3 linked regions of the Oryctolagus cuniculus genome follow. The protein of the gene in region 1 purifies or fractionates together with the protein of each later gene. This does not show direct contact. Links are inferred from orthologs where the notes say so. Each region holds a gene or a part of one and is shown in the gene's direction. Other genes may lie near its edges.

The links. Proteins that work in one complex are often made in the same cells at the same time.
Region 2: the proteins of EXOSC4 (region 1) and MPHOSPH6 purify together in Homo sapiens (affinity purification with mass spectrometry; 7 studies listed by BioGRID and IntAct, with this or other methods). This does not show direct contact. The link is inferred for Oryctolagus cuniculus from reciprocal best matches to the Homo sapiens genes EXOSC4 and MPHOSPH6.
Region 3: the proteins of EXOSC4 (region 1) and HBS1L purify together in Homo sapiens (affinity purification with mass spectrometry; 3 studies listed by BioGRID and IntAct, with this or other methods). This does not show direct contact. The link is inferred for Oryctolagus cuniculus from reciprocal best matches to the Homo sapiens genes EXOSC4 and HBS1L.

Annotation. Positions count from the first base shown.
Region 1 is NC_091437.1:167,907,050-167,914,014, forward strand, and holds EXOSC4 (exosome complex component RRP41), read left to right. Parts: upstream 1-3,415; 5' UTR 3,416-3,490; coding exon 3,491-3,661; intron 3,662-4,057; coding exon 4,058-4,264; intron 4,265-4,347; coding exon 4,348-4,707; 3' UTR 4,708-4,905; downstream 4,906-6,965. Other genes in the region: GPAA1 (glycosylphosphatidylinositol anchor attachment 1 protein), read left to right, coding at 5,335-5,615, 5,695-5,874, 5,952-6,063, 6,249-6,396, 6,484-6,585, 6,658-6,854, 6,928-6,965. UniProt on the Homo sapiens protein: Non-catalytic component of the RNA exosome complex which has 3'->5' exoribonuclease activity and participates in a multitude of cellular RNA processing and degradation events.
Region 2 is NC_091449.1:64,154,047-64,161,370, reverse strand, and holds part of MPHOSPH6 (M-phase phosphoprotein 6), read left to right. Parts: exon of another isoform or gene 1-72; intron 73-2,399; coding exon 2,400-2,512; intron 2,513-7,324. UniProt on the Homo sapiens protein: RNA-binding protein that associates with the RNA exosome complex. Involved in the 3'-processing of the 7S pre-RNA to the mature 5.8S rRNA and play a role in recruiting the RNA exosome complex to pre-rRNA; this function may include C1D.
Region 3 is NC_091436.1:33,925,899-33,933,222, forward strand, and holds part of HBS1L (HBS1-like protein), read left to right. Parts: intron 1-2,747; coding exon 2,748-3,004; intron 3,005-3,448; coding exon 3,449-3,614; intron 3,615-5,909; coding exon 5,910-6,027; intron 6,028-7,324. UniProt on the Homo sapiens protein: GTPase component of the Pelota-HBS1L complex, a complex that recognizes stalled ribosomes and triggers the No-Go Decay (NGD) pathway.

The DNA of each region.
Region 1 (6,965 bases):
AAGGTGTCCTGGTCAGACCCGACCGAAGCCAGGGTGGCAGTAGGGTCAGCGTAGGGTGATTCACTCAGGTGGCACTGATACAAAGACAGTCACGCAGGTGGCGCAGCTGCTCACTCAGCCCCGTGAGGGGCTGCCAGCTCCGCTCAGCTCCACGAATCATCACTTTTTCTCCCCATCTTGAGGAGCAACTGCAGAAGAACACACGTCTTTGCGATCACCTGTCACACAACTGTCCATCTATAGCCGCAGGACAAAACAGCTTCCGAATGAAAGGTCATTTGGTCGTTGTCTGGTGTATCCTAAATGGGGTAGACTGAAATGCATGTCCTTCTGCAGGACAGCCCATGCGTTTGCGATTGATGGCCCAACACCGGTCAGATCTTTCGTTCTGTGACCCTACCCAGCGCTGTTTGTGATCTTTTTCTGCACGTCATGAGTTCCTTGACTCATGCTTTAAAGCATCAGCGTCGGGGCCAGCACTGTGGCGCAGTGGGCTAAGCCACTGTCTGCAGTGCCGGCATCCCATACGGGTGCTGGTTCAAGTCCTGGCTGCTCCACTTCCGACCCAGCTCCCTGCTAATGTGTCCCCTGCACCCACGTGAGAGACCCGGAGGAAGCTCCTGGCTCCTGTCTCTCACCTGGCCCATCCCCGGCTGTTGTGGCCATTTGGGGAGTGAACGAACAGATGGAAGACTCTCTCTCCCCACACCTCTGTAACTCTTTCAAATAAACAAACAGTTTTTAATAAAAAAGGCATCAGCTTCTTAACTAAAAAAAGTTAAAATAGTACACAAAACATTGTAAAGCACCAGGTTCTTCAGCACAAGACACAAAACGAGCTCTAGCTGTATCCTTAGATGCAGAAGGTGCTTTTCTGGAAAACTCTTACAGTGCGCTGCGATGTTCCAAGGCAGAGCCGGGCTTCACGCAAGATCAAACAGCAAACCGACAGTGCCGTCTGGTGACGTGCCTTCATGTTCAAACCATGCCGCACTGACTTCTAACCTGCCGGAAGTGCCCTGCCACTCTGCGGGACACGCGTGGCCAGTAACTTCCTCCGGCGATAGGAACAGCACGACTCTGCCTCCTCGGCTGTTTCACCTGACGAGTGACGCGAGTCAGAATCCGGCTCCAGCTCCCTGCAGTGGCGGAGACGCTCAGCCCCGTCCTTGCCCTTCTTTTAGGGTGTATCTACATGAAAGGCAGAGTTACAGGCGGGGAGAGTCTTCCACCCACTGGTTCACTCCCAGACGGCTGCAATGGCCAGGGCTCCGTCCCCCACACGCAGGAGCAGGGTGGCCAATCGGCAGCACCTCGGGCTACTCCCGCCTCACACCCCGGGGCCTCTGACCCTCACTCCAGCTGCAGGGCACACACATGGGTGCGTGCACGTCCGGGGCTGTGTTGTAGACGTCAAAGGCCGCCCCTGGATTCCGCGATTGGCTAGAAGAACACAGCGCTCAGCGTGGAGCTGTGCTCACAGCCAAGATTCATTCCGGAGAAAGGAAATGAGTTAAAGTCGGTGAAGGGAAAGGTTCACGGGATGAAGCAGGCATCCTCTCAGGACCAGGGTCCTGGTCCAGCGGGCTCACACGGGACACGGCCATCTCCCGGCAACAAGCGGGGACAGCGACCGTGCAGTGTGTCTACAGGGAAGCCGGCTGGAGCCTCCGTGCCCAGGCTGTGCATGGCCAGCTGGCACACAGGCACCTTGTGAGGCCTGGAAGGAAAGCAGCCGTTCCTCACAAGCCGAATGTTTGACAAACAGCCCAGTGAGCACTGGGAACCCTGAGGGCCGGGTTCCCAGACGCCAGTGCACTTTGCAGACCTGTCTTCTAAAGAGCGGGCCTGCTGGGCTAGCAGTTCTGCACAGGACCCTAGTCAGGCCCCCACCCGCAGTGCCTGCATCACGCACCGATGCTGGTTCACATCCCGGCTGCCCCACTCTGATCCAGCTCCCTGCTGTGGCCTGGGAAGGCAGCAGCAGATGGCCCAAGTGCTTAGGCCCCAGCACCCACGTGGGAGGGCTGGAGGAAGCCCCTGGCTACCACTCACCCACTTTGGTCGCTTAGGCTGAAGACTGGCACTTCCTGGTTACTCTGAGTCGTGAAGCTGGGGCTGCAGCGGTGGCAGGGACCCAGGGGACCGCAGGCTCCTCAGTATTTTCACCTCACCCAGTCAAGACAGGGAGGAGGACAGCAGAGGTCAGGCCGACACTCCAGCCCAGTGAGGACGGGACAGTGAGCTCAGGCCACCGAGGCAAGGGGCTGCGGCTGCTCTTCTAGCAGACAGCTTCGTCCAGCAGCAGGGTAGAGCGTGGGGGACCCAGAGTGGTCAGTGGCAGAGGACCAGCCCTCACGGCCGCGGCCACAGCCACTACGGAGAAGACGCTGCAAGCGCTGCACCTGGACCCTGGACCAGCCTGTCTGCATCGCCACGCCGTCCAGGGCAGCTGCGCTTTGTCCCTTCCCCTTAAGCCTGGGCCATGCGGTACGGCAGAGGCAACGCGGACTTCTGGGGCTGAGTCATGAAGTCGCCACACACGCGGCGCTGCCTTGGGAGCCGCCACCAAGCCGAGGGAAAGCCCAGGCTGCTTGGGGAAGCCAGGCAGGTGTGCGCCGACGGCCTGCAGCTAACAGCAGCGGCCACGGGGAGGAAGCATTCAAGACGGCGCCAGCCACCACTGAGCGCCAACTGTGGACTGTGCGAAGCTACCCAGGGACTTCCGCTCTGTGACAGCGTGCAGGTCCCGCAGCAAGAACCAAGCATGCACCAACCGCCTTCTGGAAGGGTGCGGGCATCTGCACCCTCAAAGGGGACGCGGGCACTGTGGGAGCTGGGCGTACGGGAGGCAAGAGCCCGGGAGCACGGGACCGGCGCCCGCGTCTCCTCTCCTCTCCGGCGCGCCTCTTTCCACCTGCAGACTGCGGTGGGATGCGGCCCAGCGGAGGCAGGTGCTGGCCGCACAGGTCCGGGCCCCTTCCCACGGACACGGTCAGTTCCCAGGCTCGGTGGGAAAGCAGCAGAGCTCGCGCTGCCCTGCTTGCGGCCTTCGCCCCGAAGCCCCTGCCCTCGGGGTGCGCTCTCCGCGGCCACCACGCAGCCCTGCAGGACCACGCGAAGGGATTCCGCGCTGTTTTGTGCAACACAAAAAGGTGCGTACGAGGGAACAGGCTCAGCGCCCCCAGAGCCGCGGGGTGACAAGCGCCTGAGGGAGTCACAACTCCGCGGATACGACCGTATCGTACGAGGTCGCGCCCAGCTTTTAAACTCAACAAAAGTTAGAACGGCAAGGAACCGAGAGAACGGAGCCCCGCCAGCTCCGGCGGCCGCGGCAGGCCGCCCGGGACCGCGGCGCCGGAAGTGACGCCACACCGCGCGGAGCCGCGGGCCTCAGGGACCGGAAGTGCGGCCTGGCCGCCGGAAGTGCCGGGGCTGATGGGAGGTGTAGTTCTCCGGCCGGCCGAGCGCGGAGCGGGCGGCCGCGAGCATGGCGGGCCTGGAGCTCTTGTCGGACCAGGGCTACCGGGTGGACGGACGGCGCGCCGGGGAGCTGCGCAAGATCCAGGCGCGGATGGGGGTGTTCGCGCAGGCCGACGGCTCGGCCTACATCGAGCAGGGCAACACCAAGGCGCTGGCGGTGGTGTACGGGCCGCACGAGGCGAGTGAGCGGGCGGCGGCGGCGGCGCGCCCTCGGAGCGAACGCCCACCGGCCGCCGTGCGGCGCTTCGCGTGCCGGGCGCTCTCGCTCCCTTACCTCGACGGCCCGGCCCGCGGCAGTCCACACGCGCTGCCTGTCGGCGCGAGCAGTGGGCGGACTGGGGTGGGGAGAGCCGGGCACCCGTCCGCCGTGAGGCTTTCCCAGGGTTTGGGGTTTCACTCCCCGCGCAGTGGGGAGGCGGGGGTTGAGGTGCAGCTCCCACAGAACCCGCGTAGCCCCGGGGAGTGGGTTAGGGACGCGCGCCCGAGGCGACTGGCGGCGCTGGGCGAGCAGCCGCTGCGGACTAGGGCGGGGGCCGGGGGCCTGGGCCTGGCTCACGAGGCGCCCCTCTTCCAGATCCGGGGCTCCCGCTCGCGCGCGCTGCCCGACCGGGCCCTGGTGAACTGCCAGTACAGCTCGGCGACGTTCAGCACAGCCGAGCGCAAGCGCCGGCCGCACGGGGACCGCAAGTCCTGTGAGCTGGGCCTGCAGCTGCGCCAGACCTTCGAGGCGGCCATCCTCACCCAGCTGCACCCACGCTCCCAGATCGACATCTACGTGCAGGTGAGCTGGCCGCAGCCCCGCACGCGGAGGGAGGGGCTGCGGGGCGTGGGGCGGCCGCCTGACGCCCCTCGGGGGCCCTGCAGGTGCTGCAGGCGGACGGGGGCACCTACGCGGCCTGTGTGAACGCGGCCACGCTGGCAGTGCTGGACGCCGGGATACCCATGCGGGACTTCGTGTGCGCCTGCTCGGCCGGCTTTGTGGACGGCACAGCGCTGACGGACCTCAGCCACGTGGAGGAGGCGTCGGGCAGCCCCCAGCTGGCTCTGGCCCTGCTGCCGGCCTCCGGCCAGATCGCGCTGCTGGAGATGGACGCTCGCCTGCACGAAGACCACCTGGAGCAGGTGCTGGAGGCGGCTGCGCAGGCTGCGCGCGGCGTGCACACCCTGCTGGACCGCGTCGTGCGGCAGCACGTGCGCGAGGCCTCCATCCTGCTGGGGGACTGAACAGCGGCCGCCGGGCCCGTGCGGACCTCTCCCACGCGTGACCTGCTCCGGAGTCGCACCTGGAGGGCCGGTGCGGTGCGCGCAGGCGGCGGGAGGCGGCTGTGGGCGCTGTGGGCTGCACTGAGCAGCCCCTTCCCCCAGGAGACCCTGGGCCGTTCTGTCCCTTACCTTGAGCTCTAAAAGTACCACAACCTCGTGCACTTGCCTGCATTATTCTCCCCTGCTCGGCCCCTGCCTCCCCGCCCACCACTGCGCCCCCGTCACCCGCCCGAGCCCTGCAGCAGGGAACCAGGAGCTGCGTCTCCCGGACCACCTCGGGGACCCCCTGGCCTGGACAGGGGCAGCGCGCTCCCTACCGGCGACCTCGGTGCAGGGCACCCACGGCGAGGATTCCCCGTCCCGGCCTCCCTCTCCAAGCCCTTCATCCCCGTCGGCTGCTCGCTGCCGCCCTGCGCTTCACCTCCGTCTCCTGCCAGCCGTCCAGCTGATGCTTCCTCGCCGCCCCTGACCGGTCTGGCCCGTTCGTGCACGGTCTGGCCGAACTGGAAGCTGCCTCCCTTGCCTGGGCCCACCCCCAGTCAGCTGAGCCCGAGCCCCGCGGCCTTCCGGCGAGTCGCCGCTCAGAGCATGCGCAGTGGGCCTCCTGCGACCCTTCTGGCCTGGGCATGCGCAGGGGCCTCCCCGCCTTCTGGTCTGGGCATGCGCGGCGGCGCGAGGCCCTCTGGGACCGGAAGTGCGAGCGAGCGCGAAGCCCCGGGTCTGACAGGAGCCGCGCGCCGCGTCGGTGCCCGTACTGGTGGCGGGAGAGGGGTCGTGGGCCCGCGCCGCCCAGCCATGGGCCTCCTGTCGGACCCGGTCCGCCGGCGCGCGCTCGCCCGCCTCGTGCTGCGCCTGAACGCGCCGCTGTGGTAAGCGCGGGGCCGCGGGGCGGGGGCCCGGGCCGCGCGGCCCCGCGGACGCTGAGGCGGCCCCTCTGCCCCGTCGCAGCGTGCTGAGCTACGTGGCCGGCATCGCCTGGTTCCTGGCGCTGGCTTTCCCGCCGCTGACCCAGCGCACGTACATGTCCGAGAACGCCATGGGCTCCACCATGGTGGAGGAGCAGTTCGCGGGGGGGGACCGCGCCCGGAACTTCGCGCGCGACTTCGCCGCCCACCGCAGGAAGTCGGGGTGAGCGGCGGAGCGGGGGTCTGGGAGGGCCGAGGCCGAGGCCGGGCGCCGTGCTCACAGAGGCTCTGTGTCTCCAGGGCCCTGCCGGTGGCCTGGCTGGAGCGGACCATGCGGTCAGTAGGGCTGGAGGTCTACACGCAGAGTTTCTCCCGGAAACTGCCTTTCCCAGATGAGACTCACGAGCGCTATGTATTGGGGGAGGGGGTGTGGCTGGGGCCGAAAAGCATCTTGGGGTGGCATAGGGCGGGAGTCGCGTTGGGGGGTCCCGAGGCCAGGGGAGCCCCTGGGGAGCACGGCGTGGCCGGGCAGAGGGAGGGGCCCTGCACTGTACCGGGGTTCCCGGGCTGACGCTCCCCACCTGCCACTGTGTGCAGCTGGTGTCCGGTACCAACGTGTATGGCATCCTGCGAGGGCCCCGAGCCGCCAGCACCGAGTCCCTGGTGCTCACCGTGCCCTGTAGCTCCGACTCCACCAACAGCCAGGCTGTGGGGCTGCTGCTGGCACTTGCTGCCCACTTCCGTGGTGAGACTGGCTGTGGGGGTCGCTGCTGGCCTGGGACGGCTTGGTCGGTGCCCCAGCCCTGCTGCTGACCCTGCCTCTCACGTGCAGGGCAGATTTACTGGGCAAAAGATATCATCTTCCTGGTGACCGACCATGACCTTCTGGGCACGGAGGCCTGGCTCGAAGCCTACCACGACGTCAATGTCACTGGTAGGTGCCCTGCCCTGCCCTGGTCGCTGCCTCCACCAGCCCCTCGCTGGCGATCGCTCACTGTCCCTGCAGGCATCCAGTCGTCGCCCCTGCAGGGCCGGGCGGGGGCCATCCAGGCGGCCGTGGCCCTGGAGCTGAGCAGCGACGTCATCACGAGCCTCGACGTGACCGTGGAGGGACTCAACGGGCAGCTGCCGAACCTTGACCTGCTCAACCTCTTCCAGACCTTCTGCCAGAAAGGGGGGCTGCTGTGCACGCTGCAGGGCAAGGTGAGGCCCCGCCTGGGGCGCACAAGGCCTGCTGGGAGGAGGGCGCGCTGATCCTGCACCTGTTCCCCCGAAGCTGCAGCCCCAGGACTGGACATCGCTGGATGGGCCACT
Region 2 (7,324 bases), on another chromosome or scaffold:
CGGAATGTGTGCACTCGTAGGAGCCGAGGGGAATTCGGAGTGCCTGGGGGCACGGAGGGAGTTGTGGGCCAGGTGAAGACTGGTTTTCCGTTCGTCTTGTGAGCCGGGGAAGCTATGGGGCGCGAAGCTGTCAGCTTCTCCGGCTGCTTTGGTCCTGGGGAGAACACGTTGGTGGGGGAAAGCCAGGCAAGGGGCAACAGTGGAGTCAGACCCGCTAGAAGCCCTGGTGAGCCGAGTAAGGGGTGAGGGTCGCAGGGGAGGTGGGAATGAGGTGAAAAGGGTGGGTTGTGTCACCCCGTTTTAAATCGGGTTTTGGATTTGAAACTGAAGTGATTTTTATATTTGAAATGGAGTCAACCTAATTGTAATTTCATAGTGGAAAAGTTAAAAAGGAGGCAGTGGATAAAACGAACCCGGGAATGACCACAGGGAAGCAGCAAAGCCTGAAGACTTCATTCATGGCTCTTAGTCTCTGCTGTGTGCCAGGTGGATTTTAAGTGTCTTGCATCTATCTATTAGCCCATGTAATTTACATAGTAACCCTCTGAGGTGGCTACAGCCATTATCTTTCTTGTACAGCTGAGGCAACCAAACAGCAGTAGGTAACTTACCGCAGTTACACAGTGACTGAGTACTAACTTGGGCATCCAGGTCCTGAACCCCTGATCTTAAGTACTACCCTTTGCTGCCTGTCACTACTTCTGGATGCAGACTGTTAGATGTCGTGCCTATATAGTGCTGGAATGTCCAGGAAAAACAAGGCATCAGTAATGGAGAGTAAACAGCGCTTGTGCAAGGTGTGACTGGCGTTCAGGATGTACCAGGATGAGTACTGGATGGAGTCAAATTGTTGCGTAACTTACAGCTGGTAAAGTTGTCTCATACATGTGAGCAACATGTGAGTCTTGACTGAATAGACTTTTCTTTTGTTGGTGGTTTGTAATCGTCGATTTCAGAGAAATGGAGTGAGTTGATTGAGCACACATTGAAAAGATTTTAGTGTTTCATTTAGTTCTTGTAATAGGCCAAGTGAAGATGTGCTGGTGAACTAGGGCTGTGTCTGAAGAGCTGACTCTGCAGTTAACAAGAAGGAAATGAACTTAAAACAGTTACTACCCCCATCCAAGCAGAAGGGAAGAGGAAGACTTAACTGGATGTAGGAGCAGAGGAGAGGGCAAAAAAATTATCCACATTCTCTATTTGGGGTTAGCAGCTTTGGTCATTGGTAAGAAAGAGCTTATTGATAGGATGGCAGGAGACACTAAACATGCCGATGGAGTGGAGTGTCCTGCGTGAAGGCATGGGGCATCTGTGCCCCGGATATGATTATAGCTGCCGTAACTGTTCAGCTAGAGCCAAGTAGAGGGCAAGTATGAGAGCACTGACTCATTTGTTTTCAGTGTTCTTTAACTCTTTTGATTGAGTTAACTGTTGGAGGAGGAAGCTCTTGGTGGGAAGTAGAAAAAGAAGGATACAGGTGGAAAGTCACTAGTAGGACCCAGTGATTGTAGAGAGGATGTGTATTTGCAATTTTAACTCTTTTGGAGTCTTAGGACAGGACTTGGTGAACTTCTTTGTTTGTTTGTTTCTTAAGATTTATTTGAGAGGCAGAGAGAGAAAAGTCTTCCATCTGCTGGTTCACTCCCCAAATGGCTACGACAGCCAAAGCTGGGCCGATTCAAAGCCGGGAGCCAAGAGCTTCTTCTGGGTCTCCTACACGGGTGCAGGGACCCAAGGACTTGGGCCATCTTCTGCTTTCCCAGGCCACAGCAGAGAGCTGGACCAGAAGTGGAGCAGCCAGAACTCAAACTGGCACTTATATGGGATGCTGGCACCGCAGGTGGTGGCTTTATGCCTTACGCCATAGCGCTGGCCCTGAACTTTGTCTGTGAAGGGTCAGATAGTAAATGTTTTTAAGCTTGTGAACTAGGCCAAATGAGCATGGCTATGTTACAGGAAAACTATATTTGCAGCACACATCCAGCCTGCTGTGGGCCTCAGTTCTGAGTGGAGGCTAGACCACTGGCTTTGCCGTGTGTTCTCAGATGCTGGGGGGTTAGGAGAGTTTGGGAGAAGCTTGATTCATATTCACAGGGTGTTCTGTCATTTCCAGATCTACAGAATGTATCATAAAAAACAGCTACTTGATCATAATGGGAGATCAAAGGTCAGTTGGTCAGGATTGATGAGTTTGACCACCAAGGTATGAGTGATAAAATGAGGCCTCTGCATTATGAAGAGAATGATCCAATAAAGATAATCTGGAAAAATAAGACATGCAGACTCATTTATACTCAGAGACCCTTTATTGAACCCTTGTTGTATACCAGGTCCAGCCTAACTAGCAGTTACACAAGGGGAGTGAGAGTGCTGACACCGATTCTGTTTTGCTTTTACAGTTCATGCAAAGGGGATTGGACTCGGAAACCAAGAAGCAGCTCGAAGAGGAAGAGAAGAAGATCATTAGTGAAGAACACTGGTACTTGGATTTGCCAGAGCTGAAAGAGAAAGAGTAGGTTTATTTGGATATATATTGATGATTCTTGGGACATTCAGAGGGAAATCCTTGTCATGTGACTCGTCACTCCTGTGACAGAAAGCCCATAAAATAGGTTCTCTTCAGTTTCTTGAGTCAGCCTTTTAAGTAGTTTTCTAAAAAAAATAAATAAATATTAAACTTAGAAAAGTTCTAAGTGGTTTATAAGTTTTTACTGATTCCCTGCCATTATCCCCTTTTAAAAATACTGAATGGAGGAACATAGCCCTTACCTCTGATAACAGAGGACCTTTTGAAGTAGCTAGAATATTCTTTCTCTCATTAAATTCCAAAAGTTGGGTGTGTGCTTCAGACCAGCAGTGTTGTTTCAGTGAGAACTCCTCACAAGGCCGAACTTTTAAGACTGTTGGGAATGGTGTCTTCTTTTTCTAACTGTAGATACTTTTCTTACCACTCAGGTAAGTTTCTTAGGCTATTGAGCGTGCCAGGAAGTAGGCTAAGCACATTGCATCCCTTGATTACTGAGTGCTCACAGGAAACCTACGAGCTGCCTCCCTCCGTGCCGCACATTGTCTGGCAGAAGAAACTGAAGCTGAAGAGGTCTTGACTTTACCCATCCCTCGGCTGCTCAGTGCTGAGGCTGGCATAACTCACTCAGCTGTGCCTTGCACTTCTAGACGGCTTGTCCTTATAAACGGTTGTAAAGGAAAGAGTGATGCATTCACATCATCCATTAATTCATTCGAAAACTTACGGAGCTGTTTATCATTTCTCCTTGGAACTTTTCTTAACTGGCATGGAGGAACTATGGGGTTGTTTTACATCAGTTTTTGTCAGATCGCTGATGACGCTGCTGTTATCCTCAGGCATGTTTGTCTTTCCTTTTTTTTTTTTTTTTTTTTAAGATTTTATTTATTTATTTGAGAGGTAGAGTTACAGACAGTGAGAGGGAGAGACATAGAGAAAGGTCTTCTGTCCGTTGGTTCACTCCCCAAATGGCCACAATGGCCTGAGTTGTGCTGAGTGAAGCCAGGAGCCTCTTCCCGGTCTCCCACGTGGGTGCAGGGGCCCAAGCACTTGGGCCGTCTTCTACTGCTTTCCCAGGCCACAGCAGAGAGCTGGATTGGAAGAGGAGCAGCCAGGACTACAACCGGCACCCATATGGGATGCCAGCACCTCAGGCAGAGGATTAACCTACTGCGTCACGGCACTGGCCCGTCTTTCCTTTCTGTAACTGGTTTTTGTTCTGTTACATTCCCTTCTTCATCGGGCCAACCTTCTCTGGGCCTTTTTGGGAAGACAGAAAATAGGTCCCACCAGGAGGGATGGAAGGAAAGTGCCTGGTTTCCTCCGCTTGCTGTTCGGGGGAAGCAGAACCTGTCAGAGATAGAAGGCATTGAAGGTCAGGGAGGAGCAAGGAGCCATTACTAGTAAGGAGCCATAATTTAATTTTGTGCCTGGACCAATATCACAGCAAGTATTCCAGCTGTTTATTGAAGGGCAGGACTGTTTCTGACTTACCAGTATTTTCTATCCCGCAATACAGCATGTTCTTCCTAGAAAATGACCTTTAGACTCCTTTTCTGGAAAAGCAAATAGTAACTTCTTGCCAACACTCAGCATCCTGTTTATGTATAGGTGTGTATGTTAGCTCAGGATGTTGGCAGGAAAAGGTAAGGAGAGCTTCACAGCTTAACGAGTTGTAGGCAGGTAGGAGCACCCCTAGGAACAGAGCGGTACCTTGTGTCTTGGCTAGTGGAAATAATTCCTCTCCAGCCCAGGAGGAGGTGACTACTAAATCTGGAAACAGGCTGTGTGGAGAGAGCATCTTGCAAGAGTTACTACCTTCACTCAAGGGCACAGCCAGCCCCATGTAATGAATCCTGCAGGAAGGGAGTCAGGTACCCAGTGGCAAAGGAGTCACTCAGTATGCTACCTTCAAGTCACCCTCCCAGGACCTCCAGCATGGGGAGAGGGTGGGAGGTAGACCTGCAGGAGCAAATGGGTCCTCTGTCCTTGGCGTATGTGTGTGTTCTTGTGTTTTACTCCCATGTAGAGAGACAGCGGAATGAGTTAGGCTCCCTAGGCAGGCAGACCTGGGTTTGATGCCCTGTTCTGCCACTTGCTTTTCACCTTGGATGAGTTCTTTAACCTGTCTTTTGTCACTTTGGGGCACGATAATAGTATCTGATACATACCTTGTGGAAAGCAAATGAGAAAATGTACATAAAGCGGTCACCACAATGCCAGGTGTAAGGCACAATCAGTGTTGGCGCTAATAGTCGTGTGTCACTTAACAGTGGGGATGCGTTCCAAGAAATGCATCGTTAGACCATTTTGCAGCTTGAACATTATATATAGAATATATATATTATATATATATTAATTATTATTATATATATAGAATATATATATATAACATTATATATAGAATATACTTCCAAAGACGAAGAGATCCATGGTGTCACTGAGCAGTATAATCTTATGGGGTCAATGTCTACATGCATGCATCAGCTGAAACTGTTTGGTACATGGCTGTGCTTCAGTATATGGAACTCACCCACTGCTTTGTGCTTATCTGAACTGTTCCAAAGGGTTACTGCTATCTGTGTAATTAGAAACTTGATCTGTAGGATTATGTGTCCCCAAATCTAGAGGTTTCCTTATTTTTATTTTTATTTTTATTTTTATTTTTATTTTTATTTGAGTGGCAGAGAGACAGAGACCTTCCATCATCCAGTGGTTTACTCAAATGCCTGATACAGGCCAGGTAGGCCTGTAAGTCAAGACCAGAATTCAGTTCAGGTCTCCCATGTGAGTGGTAGGGACTCAACTTCATTCGCTGCTACCTCCAGAATGCAAATTAGCAGAAAGCTGGAGTCCTGAGCAGAGCCAGGGCTTACACCCAGGCACCCCAATCTGGGGGTGTGGGATGCAGACTTCTCCATCAGTAGTGATTGAACCAGTGGTCCAGACAGCTGCCCCTAGAAGTTTCCTTTTAAAATATTAGCTGTATCAGACTGTAATTCAGTAATGACCATGGGGCTTATTCAGTGTTAACACCTCCTAACATGGAACACGTTTAGGTGGTGGCTGGGCTGTGGGAGGGAATGAGAGTTAAGTATCTTTGCCTCCACTTGGAACAGCTGACGGGATTTCCTAACTCTAAGAGCTTCTTGTAGGTGGCCGCGACCTCGGTAGCCACAGTGCAGGTCCATGTCTCCCTCTCCCTGATCTGCCAGCCCCACCTCTGTGGAGGGGCCTCTCCTGAACAGAACCCCCTGATAAACTTGTCCATGTACAACTCTGTCTCGGGATCTGTTTCCAAAGAATCCAATCTTTGTGTTCTGTACATATTTTTTTTTTTTAAGCAATCAAAGACTGAGATTAATAAAGTTAAATTTTTACTACTTCATCAAGAACATTTTATGTGAGCTGGCTTTTTTTTTTTTTTTTTTTTTTAATCTGTGAGAGCTTAGTGACAAAGAATAAGACTACAGATGCAATCTGGGATTACTACTGTTCTAATTTGTGTTGAGATTTAATTTACCCATAGTTGACTTTGCACTCTGCACATGTCAACACAGTGGATTGGAAGTGGAGGAGCCGGAACTGGAACCGGCACTTGTATAGGGTACCAGCATAAGCTTACCTCGCTGTACCACAACTCAGGCCTCTCAATTGCTGTTTTGGTTTAGAGGTTAACCAAAGAATATTGTTGCATTCGCCTGTTTATGGACATTGGTTTGTTCCTAGTGCTTGCCTGTTGTGGGTGAAGCTATTATAAACTTTCATATTCAATTTTTGTTTTATTTTGGGTTTTTTTGGTACACATTTTCATTTCTCTTAAGTGAATGGTGCCTGCCGAGTAATGAGGTTGGCATATATTTAAGTCCATGACCAGTTTCCAAAGTGGTTGTAACACTGGACCCTTGAACTGCGGGAGCATGTGCCATCTGGAAGTTTACAGTCCCATTTGGTACTGTGTACCTTTTAAATTTTACCCGTTCTACTGGCATCTCATGGTTTTTGATTTGCATTTTCTGTCTACTTTTGTAAAGTACCTTTTCAAATGTTCTGGCCATTTTAAAAATTGAGAGTTTTTTTTTTTTTTTTTTTACGTTTTCTGGTGTTGTACAGCACATTATTTGTCTGCCCTTCTGTATTCGTACTTCTATCAAGCCACTGTATTTCTTGTGCATTTCACAAGAACATCAATACATTTTATCCCTAAACACTTCAACATGCACATCATTAATCAAAATTCATTACTTATGTAGGGCTTTCTTTTGGTTTTTTGGGGGGATAAAAACATTTTTCTGTATATAGCATTTGTTTATATTCTGCATATAAGTCTTTTGCCAGATATATGTACTGTAAACTTTTTCTCTGAGTCAGTGACTTGCATATTTATTTTCTTATTGTTGTTTTTTTGATGCGTAGTGGTTTTTGTAGATTTCTTCCATTAATTTTTTGCCCTTCATGGTAGATTCTTTCTGATTCCTACCTACTGAACTTTTGGCTATACCAAGGTTATGTTGGACCACTTAGGTAATTTTTTTTAAAGATTTATTTGAAAGAGTTGCACAGAGAGAAGGAGAGACAGAAAGAGAGAGAGGTCTTCCATCCACTGGTTCACTCCCCAAATGGCTGCAACAGCCAGAGCTGTGCTGATCCAAAGCCAGGAGGCAGGAACTTCTCCCAGGTCTCCCACAGGGTGCAGGGGCCCAAGCACGTGGGCCATCTTCCACTGCTTTCCTAGGCCACAGCAGAGAGCTGGATTGCAAAAGGAGCAGCTGAGACACGAATTGGTGCCCATAAATGCTC
Region 3 (7,324 bases), on another chromosome or scaffold:
GGAAGACCTTTCTCTCTGCCTCTCTCTGTCTATAACTCTCTGTCTCTGTCTCTCTCTCTCTCTCTCTCACTGTCTAACTCTGCCTGTCAAAAATAAATAAATAAATAAAAATGATTAGAGTATTGCATGTAGAACAAATACATTTAACCTTGTAAATCTAAAATATTAGCTTCTAAGAATCCTAAGAAGAAAGATTAAGCCTCTAAATTTATATGTAAATAGTTCTCTTTTTGGGAAGGTGATTTAGAAAAACAAGAGATTAGTCATTTTATAGTATTAGATAAGATTACAAAATTATGCCAGAAAGCATCTGAAAAACATTCAACTAACTTCATTCTAGTCAATAATTATAGACCTGAACCCAGAATAGCCATTTTTAAACCTTAAGAGGTTTTTCAAATGAAGACATCAACTCTTGCATCATAATGTAGAGAAGATTTTACTAAGTGTAGACTTACCTAGCATGCTTTTCTAGTGATTTTGGCCATATCCCTCTAATGCTATCCAATTTTAGTGAACAAATATTCAGTTTACCTGATATTTACTTCAAAGAGAATGTTCTTCTGAAAGTGAGAGAAAACCAAACCATTCATGTTGTAGAATGTAAATGATCCAGTCAGATCTGTGTTTATGAAGCTCTTTCCATCCCAAATATCCCCTCTGAGGGCTGCCTGAAGTGGAGGGTGAGCTGAGCTTCAAGTCCCTCTGTCAACGTATTGGGTCTGCTGCTGTCTGTGTTCCGTCTCAGATTGAGTCTTAACTGTTCCATGAAGGAAAAAAGTCTGTAGCGAAAACACAAAGAACTAAAGCCTGAGACTGAGTGATTTCTCCCAGGTCTGATCGGAACCCAAGCATATGTCTTACCATTCTGGTAGACTACTTTTGTTGTAATTTGTAGTATTTCTGTTTTTTAATATTCTGAAGACATAGTTGTCATGCTTTATTTTTTAGAACTAGCTGTTGTTGAAATATGTGCAAATTATAATCAAAGGTGGAAGTTTGATTTTTCTCAATTCAGCCTATTGGAACCCTTTAAAAGTATAGGAATGTTTTCCACATATTAAAATTTTTTTCCTTGTAGTTTGAAGTGAAGCTGATTTATTTATGCAGTGCTAAAAAATGAATACCTCAGTTGGTTATTGGAGACTTGGAAAAACAAAATAAATAAGAATGAAGTTGCAAATAAAATTAATGTGCCTCTTTTCCTAAGATTTAAGAAGAGGATTAATTTCAAGCATAAAAAAATGCTGTAAGAGGGAAAAACTAATCTGTTCTTTTTTTACTGTGAACAAAAAAGAAAATGTAGTCTTGAGTGATTTTTACATACTGTTTTCTCTGTGTACTGCTTTGCTTGCCCCATGTTGAGCTGGATATAATTGGCTTTATTCTTTTTTCAAAAATGATTTTTTAAAAAAGATTTATTTATTTATTTGAAAGTCAGAGTTACACAGAGAGAAGGAGAGGCAGAGAGAGAGAGAGAGATGTCTTCCATCCACTGGTTCACTCCCCAATTGGCTGCAACGGCCGGAGCTGTGCCAATCCGAAGCCAGGAGCTTCTTCCGGGTCTCCCACTTGGGTGCAGGGGCCCAAGCACTTGGGCCATCTTCTACTGCCTTCCCAGGCCACAGCAGAGAGCTGGATGGGAAGTGGAGCAGCCCATATGGGATGCCGGCACTTCAGGCCAGGGCATTAACCCGCTGCACCACAGAGCCGGCCCCTTGTTTATTTTCTTGAAAGGCAGAGTGACACAGAGAGAGGGAGAAACACAGAGACAGAAAGAGGTCGTCCATCTGCTGATTCATTCCCCAAATGCTGGCAACAGCTTGGACTGGGTCTAGCCAAAGCCCGAAGTCCAGAACCCAGTCAGGGTCTCCTACACACATGGCAGGGACCCAAGTAATGGAGCATACCACGCTGATTCCCCGGGTATGCATTAGCAGGCAGCTGGGTGGCAGGTGCAGGCAGGACTTGATCCTGAGCTCGCCCACATGAGATGTATGTGTTCCAGGCTGCTCTTAACCCACTGGGTTAGCACTGGGACTGCTTTCTGTGGGGAGTAGTCAAAGAGCTAATAGAGAACTGAAATCAAAGTTTACTTTTAGAGGTATCAGCATTGTCAAGGAATGAATAAAAAAAGCCTGATTGTCTTGTCTCTATATATCTGAATTCCTCACTAGGTTCTAAGCTTTTGGGAGTAGTGGTGAAATCTTTCATTTGTATACCTTTTGTTAGTATATATGTGCCTAGTATATGTTACAGTTTTTAATAATCAAGTTTACTGAGTTAATAAATTAAAATACCTTTGACAGAAATATTAAGAAACTGTAGTCATTTAGTGATATCTCCCTTAAAGTTAGCATTTGAGCAAAAAAGATTTTAAATTAGGGGCAAAACTTTTTTTAATGCTAATTTTATCTGCAGTAACGTGGTGCCATAAAAAAAAAACCTCCTTTATACCTCCTTTATGCCATCTTTTTTGATAGGATTGATTATATGACCAAGGCTTGGACTTTAAGGTTTAGTTAGTTTACAGGATTTTTTTTTTTTCCTTTGATAGAGTATTTTTTTCATCTGGGATCTTCCAGTTTGTATTTGTGTGATTGGGTCTAGCTTATGCCATCCCCCTTTTAGCAAACTCTAACCACTTGGCAGAGGCATTTGGGTTTGAGGTGTAAAGAGTTATGGAAAAAAAAGGACTCATAAGTAGAGTCGGCTTAAAACAGTGTTTTCCTAACTGCTTTCTTTAGAGTAACTTCCCAAGAGAATGGTCATGGTTTCCACACACCTCAGAAAGGTGACGATACCAGCAGTGCTGCTTCTGGTGGCGGTCTGGAGCACACGGCGAAATCCGCTCCCGCGCCTCACGCGGGGCAGGTGTCGGAAGAACAGAGCTCCCCGGCGGCGCTGGTGAAGAAGCCCGGCAGGCTGCGGCAGCAAATCGATGTGAAAGCCGAACTGGAGAAGCGGCAAGGAGGGAAGCAGCTCCTCAACTTAGTGGTCATTGGTAATGCCCTTTGTGCCTCCAGGTTCGCGAGCCTCACTGCCTTGTGGGGCAGCCCCGAAGCTCTGTGTTCCTCTGTGGGTGTAATGGACAGAAAGCAAGGAGCTGTTGCATCATAATGGCTTCCTGGTCACCCTGCGGAAATGATGCCGCGTTTCCAAGGAGGCTGGTGGACCTGTTGCCGCATTTTCATGTTGTGCACATTTTGAGAATGGCATGTCTTATTGAAAATTTTAATTTATAAAAATGAGGGAAATCTCCCCCTCTAAAGGGACATGCCCCCCCCACCCCGCATTTAGATGTTTTATCTGTCGTTTGTTAAAAATTGGTATTCAGTATACTCCATAAACACTGCAGTGAACTATTGAATTACACTGTCATGCAACGCCTCAGTGTGAACAGCTTGTGAAATGTGCCTGGTATTAATCTTGAATCAATTTTCCATAGGTCATGTTGATGCTGGGAAAAGTACTCTGATGGGCCATATGCTTTATCTCCTGGGTAATGTAAACAAAAGAACTATGCATAAGTATGAACAGGAGTCTAAAAAGGCTGGCAAAGCTTCGTTTGCGTATGCATGGGTCTTGGATGAGACTGGTGAAGAAAGAGAAAGGTAGTCACTATATTTCAGAATTTTCAGTTTGAAATGATATAGTCTTTTTAAATTAGTAATATGTGTTGAATATATGAAACATGCCATGAAATACTTTAGGGATTTTATATTCAGAGAGAAACTTCTAATTATCAGAGAGAAGTATTTCTTGTAATTTTCATTATAAATAGCTTCTTTGTACTCTCCCAAATTCTATGAGAATAAATCAAAGCTAAAACAAAAAACACATAGAAGTTAATTAGTAAAAACCCTAAGCTAATTATTCTATGGGAGAAGATCCTGTTACTACTTCCCTTTATGCCTGATTGCCTTGATATTGAATTTAAATTATGAGTTAAGACTTAATTTTATAATAGGTTGTAAAGGAAAGGCAACAGTAGTGAACTCTCTTCTTTCAGGATCAAAGTGACCATTATATCTAGATTACCACACTTACTTATTTTATACTTTAAATAAGTAATTAAACCCATAACCTGCCACTGAGATATAATTCAGTCAGTTACTCCCTTCTGTCTTTGTTACTATGTTCAATGCTAATTTGGTGAGGGGAGAGGTGGAAATTCTAGCAGGAGAATACAGCCACTCATATACTTCTGGCTAAAGTACAATATTTCTTGTAGTAGTGATATGTATTATTTTAGGGCTGTAAACGGTGGGAGAACCAAGGGCACCTTAGTGATTAAGTGTAACTGTTTCAAAATGATGACTAAATTAAATTGCATTCCCCCAATTTCCTCAATCTGAGTATAATTAGAGATATTTAGATTTCTATACTTTTTTCATGGATATGTTTATTTTCTCATAGTCTTGGATAACCTGCATTATAATATATAAGGTAATCATTGGTAAAACTGGTCACAATGTTCCTTAGCTCTTCTAATAAGTAGGACTTTATATCATAGCAGGTTTTTATCCCCTTGTAAGTGTCTTATAAATTCTGTATAGCACCATGAACCTGTTTTCCACCTTGGTAAGAAAAATTAGCCGGACAGCTGCCAGTTTTTTGTAAACAGTAGAATTGTATATGACATCAGTATTAGAAGCATACATAATTTCTGCTTGTCAGCCCAACAAGCAGATTGTTAAAGTATATGGCTTTTAGTTTTCTTTGTGTCATCTAGTAAATAAGAGATTGGAGACAGTATAATTTGAGTGCAAATAATTTGGTCGAATTTAATTAATTTGTGAATTAAGCTGGCAAGTTAGCTAATGATCTGATTCCTATAATCATCACTCATTTTAGGGGTCTTTTTTGGATGATGTTGCTGCTTACTGACTGTTGTACTTTTACTGCTACTAGTCTTCGGTTTCTCAGGATGATACTATTTTTAGAATATCCCTTTATTACATAGATTAGTCATGGTTCATCACTATTCTGAAATGCCGTGATCCATAGGTTATTTGGAGATTATTAAGGAGAACTATACCTCACTTTGGCCCATCACTTCAGATTAAACTCAGATGCCATGACTGAGGAAACCATAGTCACCTGACTCTGAGGGGGGACCTGAGTTCATTAGAATCGTTGGGACTCGTGAAAATGAAAGAGAGGGCTGTCATCCACTGCTTTGGATGATGCAGCGGGTACTACGATGATTGCCCACCCGAGTTCCTCTTCTAAGTTCCAGAGGTCAAGAGTGATTCAGTGACCTTGTGGACCTTCCCTCAGCTTCCCTATAATCTCAATCTACATTCTTGTGACTGAAAAGAGGCGTTCATTGTGTCTGGTCTCCAGAGGAGATGGAAAGGCACACAAAGTAAACTGCCATTCATTTCTCTCAGTTTTTAAAAAGTTAGGTCTCCTTGGATTCTCCATATTTTCTAAATGCATTACTTACTGACTAACCTTGCAAATGAGAATTTCACAAGTTTATTTGTATAAATAGGTGAGGTATAACCATGAAACATAAGGACATTACCTGTTGATAGTGATGAGTTTTCATGTTGTCTTTTCTCATGTGCAGTATTTATTTTCCCCCCACTAGAGATGTCCCCATATATTTTTCTTTATTTATACTTCATACTATTTCTTACTAAAACATAAAAAAGCAAGGAAATGGGAAATAACAATCCTTTTGATTGAGTTCTTGCTGTATCCACAACCTTGTTTTAATGCCATAGAAGTATAATTGTATTTAGCAGAAATTCCAGCCCTAATTGATACTTTAATTATTCAAAATAATGATTTATGTAATAAAATTCGCATTGTTACTTGTCAGCCTATAGTTTAATGATTTAATCCATAGAACTCTTGTTTTATATAGTGCATTCTAACAATGTTTTGTTTTGTTTAAGGGGAGTAACGATGGATGTTGGTATGACAAAGTTTGAAACCACAACCAAAGTTATTACATTAATGGATGCTCCAGGCCATAAGGATTTTATTCCCAATATGATTACAGGAGCAGCCCAGGTACTAGGTATTTCCTTAATGATGGTGCACTGTTTGACTGTACATAAAAATTCCTGATTCTGAGGTTATAACTGAGATTTTAACTTCTAAAATATTTTAATATTAATAATTTTAAGTTTAAAAATTTTGGAAGAAATATTGTGTCTTTCATGATTTCTCTATGTGTACTTTATAAACAAAGAAATGTGTAGAAGCTAATAATTTCTGTATAGTAAGAATAGTGGAAAAGTACTTGATGAAGTGTAGCTTTGTATTCTATTTAATAAATTGAAGTTAGTATTTCAAATCTGCCTTATTTTACTCAATATATACTCAGTTTTCTATTTTTAAATTAAAAGCACTTTTACTTACTTATTTTTATTTGAAAGGGAGAAAGGGAGAGGGAGAGAGAGAGAGAAATCTTCCATCTGCTGGTTCACTCCCCAAATGCTTATAACATCTAGACTGAGGCCAGACCACAGCCAGGATCCAGGGACTCAATCCAAGTCTCCCATGTTGGTGGCAGGGACTCAACTTCTTGAGCCATCACCTGCAGCCTCCCATGACGCACATTAGCAGGACACTAGCATTGGATATAGAGCTGGCCCTCGAACCCAGGCGCTCAATATGGGGTGTGTGTGTGCTCCAAGCCTCATCTTATTTGCTGCACAAAACACCCAGCCTTTCTGTTTTTCAAACTAATTTATGCAGAGATAAGTAAGTTTGAGGGTCCCCCTCCAAGTAGTTTATTTGTTTATACTAAAAAATGCAATTGGCTCCCAGTTTCTTTTGGCTCCTACCTGTGGATTCAACCAATGCACATGGAGAATATTAAAAAAAAAAATCTGTACCCAAGACATGCAGATTGATTTTCCTTGTTATTGTTCCCTAAACAATATGGTATGACAGTTCTTTACATGGCATTTTCATTGTATTAGGTATTGTAAGTTATAAATAGATGACTGACTTGGGGTATATGGAAGGATATGCAAATACTACACAATTTTATGTAAGGGACTTGAACTTGGTATCTGAAGGGATCCTAGAACCAGTTTCCTGAGGATGCTGAGGAATAACTATAACTTACAGTTTTTAAATTTAGATCACTCTTAAATGAAGGATACTGGAAAAAAAATACCCAAAGATAAGTAACTTTAAATTTAAATAGTAGAAGCAGTGAAAATAGCAATATAACCATATGGCATTGATTTCTTTCATAATGGATGATTATTGAAAAACATGAAGAATTAACAAATTGGGCTCTGTCATGTGGCAAAAATGTGACTTTAAGCAGTTGACTATTTTCAGAGTTCCATTC